2 linked regions of the Tribolium castaneum genome follow. The protein of the gene in region 1 purifies or fractionates together with the protein of each later gene. This does not show direct contact. Links are inferred from orthologs where the notes say so. Each region holds a gene or a part of one and is shown in the gene's direction. Other genes may lie near its edges.

Region 1 (4,864 bases):
CGAAAGTTACTAAATTTTTCAAAATTTGTTTGGCATAATTTTATTAGAAAAATCATCGTGATGAAAGTCATTTCAGCACTTTTTCTTGTCTTTTGCCTAAATTTCGGACACGCATACTACTTCCCGATATGCTCCGAGACAAGTGAGTCGGTTATGCGTAACAATCCATAACTGCGGTATTTTTAGGTAAAAACGAGAAAACCTGCACCCGTTACTTTACTTTTCCGAGGTTTACTATCTCGACTGGAGAAAATATAGCCGCTGAAAGCGTTAAACAACCACCACAATCGCTTAGGCAATTTCTTGACCAGACTTTTGATACGTACGTTGGGCCTTTTGTGGCTTTCTATGTGCATCATGTAAGCCCCGTTTTGAACCACATGGGGATTGCCATGGATCAGGTTTATAAATTAGTGACGGAAAACTTGCCTGAAATAAGCGACGAATATTACATAGCACAATATTTGCCGTTTGTCAAAGTGAAAAAGGTAAATTGTCTTTTATTGAGAAATAAAGTAAAGTATTCAATCGTAGGCTAAAGCTGATAGCAGACTCTACTTCTTGTTCATTCTGGCGAGTCTCTGCATTTATTTGGTAATTAATAGATTGACGAGTCATTACTGTTTTTATGAACCACAAATATTTTTTCCAGATTTTGTATGTTTACTTTAGTAGAAAACTCTATTTTTATTACCAATATGCGATCAGGAGGGAATATTTATGTAACGTACAAAAGATCTTCAAAGTAAAGGAATAATTTTTCTGTTTAATAATCGGCAATTACGCAAATCACATTCCATAGTCTCCAGATAGCGACCATTTGTAACGTTTACATTTACATCTTGTAACAGAAAAATTTAAATAAAGGTTTTGTTGTTTTTTTATCTTTATTTATAATCAAAATCAAAAAAAAGTGGACCACATAACCTCAAATTTGTTGGAGGTAACCGCTAAAGAATTTAAGTTCTCCAGTTTATACTATGAATAATTTATTGAGGGTCACACGTAGGGCTCTTCAATGCCGTTTCTTGCACCAGACGCCCAAATCATTCGGGAACAACCTCTACGAGCCCGATTATCTCGAGGTAACCAAATATAACCTCTTAAAGTTACCCAAAAAACATTTTTTAGGCCATGAAATCGAATCTTCCAATGTACGACACTTTAAATATTCAAATTCGTGGCTACGATTATGCCATATTGGAAAATTATCAAAAGTTTATTCATAAATTATTGCGAAGTATGGATATAAGTGTGGAGGAAGCTTGGGCAACCCCCCATCAAGACATTCAAGTCACGACCTATAAACCGAAGAGTGAAATTATCAACACACAGTACAATTTGAAGCACTATGATCGGACAGTACAAATTACTGATGTTTTATCAACTCAGGTATTTAATTTTTCAAAGTGAAATGCTTGAAACTGGCACGTATTTGCAGTTGCCTGTTATTTTACGTGCACTGGAGGCTAGTACCCCATCGGGGATCACCGTCCACGTGCGGCCTCATGAAGAGTGGGACGAGGAGATTAGATACGTGCCTGACACGGAGTTGAAACAATTGAAACAGGAACTGGACGACTTAGGGGGGCCTTTGAAGAAGAAATAAAAATGTTAATTCATAAATAGTCTAATAAAAATGATTAATTAACTCGTTTGCCGCTTTTATTTAAATCCTCCATTTTGTTCCCTCCTAGTGCTAAACCCAAACTCCCCAGTTGTGTTGTTTGAGGCAGCTGTAAAATGCATTTAAAATCCATTGATTTTTAATAAATTAACCCAAACCGCCGCAACCGCCAGGTACTTCGCCCCCATTATGTAATTCCCACCACTATCCAGCCCCCAACTCAATTGTAAATTTTAGGTTATACAATGGGTTGAATTCTCCCAGGATGGAGATGCACATAGAAACGGCGGTCCGCATCCATACGTCGGGCTACTCCCCCAACGACATGGTTTGCGTGCACTCCAACCCCGTCAACAACACCATCCAACTCGCGAATTCGCAAAACTACCCCGTCAATTACGCCCTTCCAGCCGACTGTTGCCAAAACACGGTGTTCACAACCACGGCAGCCCCTTTGGTGAATTATTTGGTGGAAGGGTGCGATGTTTCGGTGGTCACGCTGGGCCAGTCCGGGACTGGAAAGTCCTACACGCTCCTAGGCCCAGGTTTCCACTGTGCGGCTAGCGAGGCTGATCACGGGATTATCCCGCGGTTTATTCGCGAAGTTTTCGCCAAAATGAAACAATACAGAGACAGGAATTGGTGCGTGCATATCGCTTGGTCGCAGATTTGTGGCGAAAACGTCCAGGATTTGCTAGGCGTTGGGAGCATCGAGTGCCGGAATATCAGTGACGTGTTTCAGTTGATTCAAGTCGGAATGTCGAATATAGCCCCCAAGTGCGCCCACACGTTGTTCACACTCACTTTGGAGCAGCAGTGGGTGGTGGAGACAAGTGTGCAACATCGCGTCTCAACTGCGAGTTTTGCCGATTTGGCAGGGACTGAGAAAGTTCTAGTTTATGACAGCAACGGGATGATGCAAACGATTCCCACTGATTTAGGGATACAGACTTTACAGAGGTGTATTATGTCGCTGTCTGATTTTAACTGCAGTTTTGTGCCGTACACTCAATCCGTTTTGACGACACTACTGAAAGACTCGTTCGGGGGGCGCGCAAAGACACTTCTGATCTGTTGCGTGTCCCCCCTTGCTCAAGACTTCACCGAGACTTTGTATACACTTCAGTTGGGTTTGAGGGCTCAAATGATCAAAAATTTCGTCACTGTTAACTCATACGCTACGTTTGAGTCAACACAAGAGAATTGTGATGTTTTCGGCCTACAGTTCGCCGCCAATCAACTCCTGAAACTTGTCTCGAACGCTGAAGAGTTGTTCCAACGATTGGTAGCGAACGACTTGTTACCAAAAAGCGAACAAGAACAAATATCACAGTGGTTGATGCTCAAACAAGAATGCGAAGACTGTTTGAGTGAAAATTCAGAGCCTCATAGATCACTCGAGCGGATTGAGGAGGAAATTGAGAGTGATAGTAGTGAGAGCGAGGCGATTGAGGAGGAGGAGAAGGAGAGTCTCCTTGATAGGGTTCAAGGTTTGATGGAGACTTTTCGCTCAAACACCGATAAATTAGTCTCTGAGGCTAATTGTGCAAACGTTACGAATTCTTGTACCAAAGAAAGTATGAATAGCTCGAATAATGAGTATCATATGAAGGGGGCACGGGGGCGCAGAGGGAGTATCCACTCGGCTGAAGAACTAAACCCTTGCTTGTCCCTCAATACGTTACGTATTAATGACGATGTCGAGAGTCAAAAAATCGCAGTTACGTCGTACGATAACAAGAAGAAAATCCTTAAACAAATCGCCACTGCGTTAGAATTGAATCAAAAAAAGATCTCTGATTTGGAAAAAACAATTCGGGTCAAGGAAAACCTCATGGAAAAGCTCCTGAAGCACAAAGACACAAAATCGAGTGCTCACCATAAAATCGAACAAAAATGCCAGTTGTTACGCAAGGAGTATAAAAACGCCGAGGTCAAGTTCTTGCAAGCGAAATTACAAAAAAATCACCACTTGGAAGGGAAATACAAGAGCGAAGTTGTGGCCCTTGAGGAGCGACTGCGAGACACCGAATCGTTGAAAAACCTGACCGAAGACGGGAACAAATTGCTAGAATTAGAAAGTAGTCTACATACAGATCGGGAGAAGTTGAAAAAGTACAAACAAGAGAAAGAAAAGTATAAACAAATCTACGAGAAACAGCTGAAGGAGGAGCGCTCTAAGTCGAAAGCGAGTTGCGAGAGCGTGCCGAAAACCCCCGATGTTAAAGTCGTTGCTTTAATTAAACCAAACGTTTCGCTAAATAGCGAAGAACTTGAAAGTCTGAGACACGAAATTCGCAACTTGCGCAAAACCCGCGACTATTTATTAGAATTGCGGTGCAAAATCACGCTCAAATCCCAGAATAAAAAATTCCTGAACGACTCCGACGAACGCAAGTTGCTGCAGTACGAGGAGGCTATTGAGGCAATAGACTTGATCATAGAATACAAAAACTCGATTTTGTGTGGGCACCTGCCAGTCAAAGAGATTGAGGATCATGGCGATCGGATGCTGATGGAGCGGTTCCTCAAACTGAGTGAGAACGAAATGAGGATCCTCCTTCATAGATATTTCGAGAAGATTATCGATTTGAGGAGCAGCAGCAAAAAGCTCGATTTGGAGATTTTGGATATTGAAAACCAACACGAAAATCTCGCATATCGTGTGCAAAAACTCAGTCATAACTTACAACTGGTTAGGTCTGACGCTGAACGGAGGATAGCCTCGCTCCAGCAACAACACGAAGACAAGTTGTACTTGGTCTTGAGGAACCTGACGGGAGATGGGGCTGATAATGAGAGGATAAGTCGGGTCTTGGGGTCGAGACATTCCGCAGTGACGGTTCAAGTGGCAGGCGCCAGTAAACAAGTGGACAAGAATAGGTTCATAGCGAAGTGGACGCGATACCGCCAGGAGACCGTTCCGAGACAGCTGCAATCGGTGCCCCCACAGGCCAAGGTCACCATTGAGAAAAACAAAATCATTCTGCAGAAAACCAACAAGAACTAATTGTAATTTATTGTAGGCTAGGGTAGGACAATAATGATGTAATCGTGGTTTATCAAATAAATGTGATGACTTCAGTTTTGCGTTTTTTTTTTTCATTTTTGCCCAAGAAGTAAAAGGAATTTGGCGCGCAAGCGTGGCTTTTGAGTGATCATGTACTGGTATTAACTATGAGTTAATTCAAAACGCTGCAAAACTTTCCATTAGTTAATTATTATTGCGTTTTGCCT
Region 2 (4,730 bases), on another chromosome or scaffold:
ATAATTAAACGTAGTTAAATAGATAAAATTTTGCAGTGTTCATATGACTGGATTATGTAATCAAGAATAACCCGAAAAAATTCTCATTTAGTGCCGTACCTTCCTAGGTACTCATCTTAATTAATCCGTTTAAAAAAAGCATAATTAGTAAAATACTTTTACTAATGAATTAATTACATCAATTTAAAAAAAATGTTTTAAAAAATGGCTTAGTTGATCACACAAACAAAATTGGTAGCAAAATTATTATGTAGAACGAAGTCTTAAAAATTGTATTAAGATTTAATCTTAAGTACAAATAGACACTGTTTTATAAAAAGAATTGGCTTATCTAATAATTTAAGGTATTTCCGTTAATTTAATTGATAGAGATTTAATGCAAACACAAATACAGCATGTAATTCGTGACTTAGGCAAATTTTATTAATATGTCTCAAAGTTTACACTTTTGAGTAACATTTTTTTATTGCGTCTTCACTTTTATTTTGGCCAATTTTATTTGTTGTGTTAATCAGTCACAGTATGTTTAAAATTCCAAAGTAGAGAGTTTGTATAAAAAAATGTTATACACTAATAAAAACAAAAGTTGGAAAGTATTCTTCCGGCTTTTAAATTAATCTAAATAATAACTACAAAGTGTTCCAAGACATACAAATACTTTTAAATTAAGTCACTCAGAAAATGTACATTTTTTATGTACATTATATTACATAATGTCCTGTTGTACAAGAGTTTATAATCACTGACAATAAGTATTCGTTGAGCAGTATATAACCCTGAGAAAAAAATTGAATAGGGATTATTTACTTACCCACAGCTTCTTTCAATAGTGTTACACACTTCACATGCCCCGCTTTTTCAGCCAGATCGAGAGCACTCATTCCATTCGCATCCAGAATTTGAATATCTGAATCATGCTGCAGTAAAATTGAGACATTACTGTTATGCCCATGTTCGGCACTTAAATGCAAAGGAATCTAAAACGAGAGCAATTATTTTCCTACAACTGCTAAAATTAATTAAAAACAAACCTTCTGGTCGCCTCTTGGGCCGCACCGAATGTTAGGATCGGCCCCTGCATTTAGTAAAATTGTCAAACACCCTGAATTATCATTAATAGCAGCTGCATGTAGGGGGGTTCTCCCCCAACTGTCCTGCGAGTTCAGGAAGGCCTGTTGGCCCCCTTCTAGCAAGTCCATGAGTAAATGTGTGTTGTCCCATAACGCGGCCTTAAAACAACAATCAAATTTTGCAAATTAACTAGTTAAAGGAACGAACCTGGTGTAGGAGCCGGCCTGGAAAATCTTCGTCTTCAGGCGAAGAATCCAACATTGTGGCGATCGATAACGCTCCCAACACCTACATTACACAAACGCGGAAACTAACACAATTTCGTGCAAAAACCGCGAAGCGTTTCAACGATAATAATTTCGCAACGATTGAGAAATACAAAAATGTCCTTATTTTGACTGCTGGATTAGAGGTTAGTTTAATTGTCGCAACGACAAGCAACCTAACAACGCCAAAAGCCACCCCTTGCACCCACTTTTCGAACGGGCTCTAGGGAAATTTCTGTTTGGTGAGTTACCGAGCCAGGTTACTCTTGTTTTGTTTGGCGGGTTGCCTAAAAGTTGTTCCTGCATTCTTGAAATATTTTCTTTTATTGGTCTGGACGGAAGTGTAAAATGTTCTAAAGTGGTAACAAACGGCTAAATATAATACTTTCTGCCGATTTCTAGTAAGTAGAGGTGTTGGTTTGTAAAGTTTTAAAGTTGGGGGGGCCCAATAGAACAATGAATGAAGCTGCTGCTCTGCCCCATGGACCCCCAATGAACATTCTGCCACCGACACCAGCAGGTTTGGAGTCTTTGTACACGCTATGTAGGAAAATTTACCCCGATCAAGCCAACCCCCTTCAAGTCACGGCCCTCATCAAGTACTGGCAAGTGATTTTTGCAATAAAATTACATAATTCGTTTAATTTAACGTACATGTAATTATTTTGGCAATTGCCGGGCTTATAATTGTGCGAAATTTCCATTAAATTAAAATTTGACTCAGGTTCTATTTATAGTCACTTCCTGTTTTTTCTGTCTGCTTCCCTTGTATGTAAACAGGGGAGCTGACCTATTTTATTTTTAAACGAGGGGATACTTTTTTATAGGCTGGGAGGGCCCGATCCTTTAGATTACATATCAATGTATGCAAATCCAGGCATTCCACAAGAAAACATTCCTCCACATTGGCACTACATAAGGTAGCAATCTTTTAAGTGAAATATTTAATAAACGAAAATTTTAGTTTTGGTCTCTCAGACCTTCACGGTGACGGGCGAGTGCACGACGTGTCAGGAGCTAATGGTGTTTCAGGTTTTGGTTTTGAGCTAACATTTAGGCTAAAACGGGAGCCTGAAGAGACGGCACCGCCCACCTGGCCCGCAACTTTAATGCAATCTTTAGCGAAATACGTTTTTCAGTCAGGCAACACTCTTTGTGCTGGTGACCACGTTTCCTGGCACTGCGCGTTAGATAGCAGCGAGTCACGAATACAGCACATGTTGATGACCACAGACGTGCATTTGAAGTCAATACAGACGCCTTTTGGTTCTGTCGATTTCGTCCAAATTGTTGGTATTTGCGCCGAGGAGCTGAAAGCAGCCCAGCAGTGGAACGGGGCCGGGGTGCTTGATATGATAACTAGAATACCGTCGTAAATCGCACCACCAATCACGTTTTCGTAAAACTTAAGTCTGGGTTTTAGTGCTGGGGGGCCTTGGTTTATCACGGATATGAGGCGAGGGGAGAGCATTTTTGAGCTTGATTTAAACGCGCACGAGGAAGTCGAGCGAGGGTTTGAGTTAGAGGGCTCCAATTTGAGCGGAGTCAGCGCTAGGTGTTCATGGGTTGAGCAAGACCCTGCTCGTATTGACATAATGCATTTGAAAGAAAAGTCCGATTGTGACAATTTCCAAGCTCAAGAGGACGTAACTCTGTTAAATTCACCTCAAAAACCGCTACAGAGTGGCAACTTTGAACAAAACCGCTCCAGTAGCACCAATTTCAAAATGGACGAGTCAACTGAGTTGTTGCACATAAAGAAATTAGAGGGCGTCCATTTGGTTTTTAATTTGGAGGCTGGGAGTTTACTCCCTTTGGCCATCAGGTGAGGGAATTTTACGTGTTGGTGTTGTTTCTATTTTTTATTTTTGAAAAGGGGGCGCGTACGACATGGTAGACATTTCACATTTAAGTCAGTTTTGGGTGAAACTGCCATAACACTAGTGGCAGGTACGGTTACAGGGACGTTGGTGAACTCAGAACACCCTTATGTAGCTCAGGGTTCATGGCTACAAATACTTATTACCGACGATTTAGCTCAGGATATGGCGGTTACTTTTCAAGTTCTGGCCACTCCAGAGGCGCTTTCTTTACCAAAAACATTCTCATGGCCCGACAAAAAGTTATCTGTGACTATTGTAGCGGACAAGTTATAGTATTTACAGTTATCTCATTAATCATAATAAGACTAAAATAGGTTTAATTTAGCCTTAGTCTCACGAAATAATCAAAAGCAATATGTAGGCATATTTCTTATCTTAGGTTTACTCAATTAATTTATTACATTATTTATTATTACCTAACTTAAATAGAACAACCCCCCATATGCTATACATATCGGATTTAAAGTACAAAAAGTAACCCATATTATGTACCATAGACCTGTAAACTGTCCCACTTGATTCTAAACGAATAAAGATGCTTTCTTTTGAATTAGGTTTTTTATTTTTATACCATGCTTTCTAATTTTTTTATCGAAATGGCCTGTGAAATTAAGTCGTTTGATTTACTTCATACGCGCTATCAGTCGTGACGTCACCTCCCCACTCTTATTACGGTAGGTCAGTTGCTCAAAGCTAAACAACCAGTCTTTTACATGTGGTGTAATACGTTTTTCGGTTTTTTGGTTGTGTTTGTGCGTTAATAACGTGTCAAATAGCTGCAGCGGGTGTAATTTGTGCCACTAGAGACTTTAATTTAATTTAGAAGTGACTTTTTGTGAAAATACGAACTTTATAAAAGAATACAGGGAACCACGTTGTCGGTGAGAAAGTGAGTAAGCTTTAATTATACTTTGAGAAACTATTATATTTATGCATTTTAGTGGCAGAAAAGCACATTGTTAAGTTTCACTTTATTGCGAAATTTTTTGGGGACGGTAATCGCTTTTTAGTTCGGGGAGAAAATGCTTTTACCAGCGGTCACGTCACCAAATTTAGGTTTGATGGCACAGTACAACCGATGAGAATTTCTGCAGAAGTTCTACCGAGCATGAAAAAGCTAAATTATACTGTGGAGGTTTGTATTTATTTAACTGTTAGACATTTCTTCTACAAAGTGTGTTTTAGATTTCATATGACCTAGAAGAAGGGGTTAAGACGGCACATTGTACCTGCCCAAGGGGCAACGTGGCTTGCCATCATATGGCTGCAGCATTATATTATGCTCATTATAATGTAAGTGCTACTGACATTGAGTGTCAGTGGAGTGCCCCATCAAAAACAACACCACAAACAGAAGTCATTAAGTTAGCTGATGTTTACAAGCCGAAATTATCAAACTATACGGCACTGTCTAGGTCCTCTACTGAGGACGAAATTATTCAGTTCCGTGCCGAAATAGGCGTCACGAATGTGGTGGGCTTCACTTGGCTCCTAAGACCAGAAGCAAGTG

The links. Proteins that work in one complex are often made in the same cells at the same time.
Region 2: the proteins of cos (region 1) and Su(fu) purify together in Drosophila melanogaster (affinity purification with western blotting; 3 studies listed by BioGRID, with this or other methods). This does not show direct contact. The link is inferred for Tribolium castaneum from reciprocal best matches to the Drosophila melanogaster genes cos and Su(fu).

What each region holds. Positions count from the first base shown.
Region 1 is NC_087402.1:2,906,551-2,911,414, reverse strand, and holds cos (kinesin-like protein costa), read left to right. Parts: upstream 1-1,685; 5' UTR 1,686-1,816; coding exon 1,817-1,818; exon of another isoform or gene 1,819-1,864; coding exon 1,865-4,637; 3' UTR 4,638-4,711; downstream 4,712-4,864. Other genes in the region: uncharacterized protein LOC103312599, read left to right, coding at 61-142, 187-488, 535-594, 653-757; mRpL48 (large ribosomal subunit protein mL48), read left to right, coding at 981-1,085, 1,132-1,392, 1,442-1,609. UniProt on the Drosophila melanogaster protein: Regulates cubitus interruptus (ci) processing by recruiting multiple kinases to promote its efficient phosphorylation.
Region 2 is NC_087397.1:4,508,259-4,512,988, forward strand, and holds Su(fu) (suppressor of fused homolog), read left to right. Parts: upstream 1-1,547; 5' UTR 1,548-1,793; coding exon 1,794-1,942; intron 1,943-2,164; coding exon 2,165-2,257; intron 2,258-2,301; coding exon 2,302-2,709; intron 2,710-2,760; coding exon 2,761-3,162; intron 3,163-3,213; coding exon 3,214-3,493; 3' UTR 3,494-3,770; downstream 3,771-4,730. Other genes in the region: Lrrk (leucine-rich repeat serine/threonine-protein kinase 1), read right to left, coding at 812-977, 1,032-1,229, 1,279-1,332; uncharacterized protein LOC107399185, read left to right, coding at 4,109-4,109, 4,162-4,355, 4,406-4,730.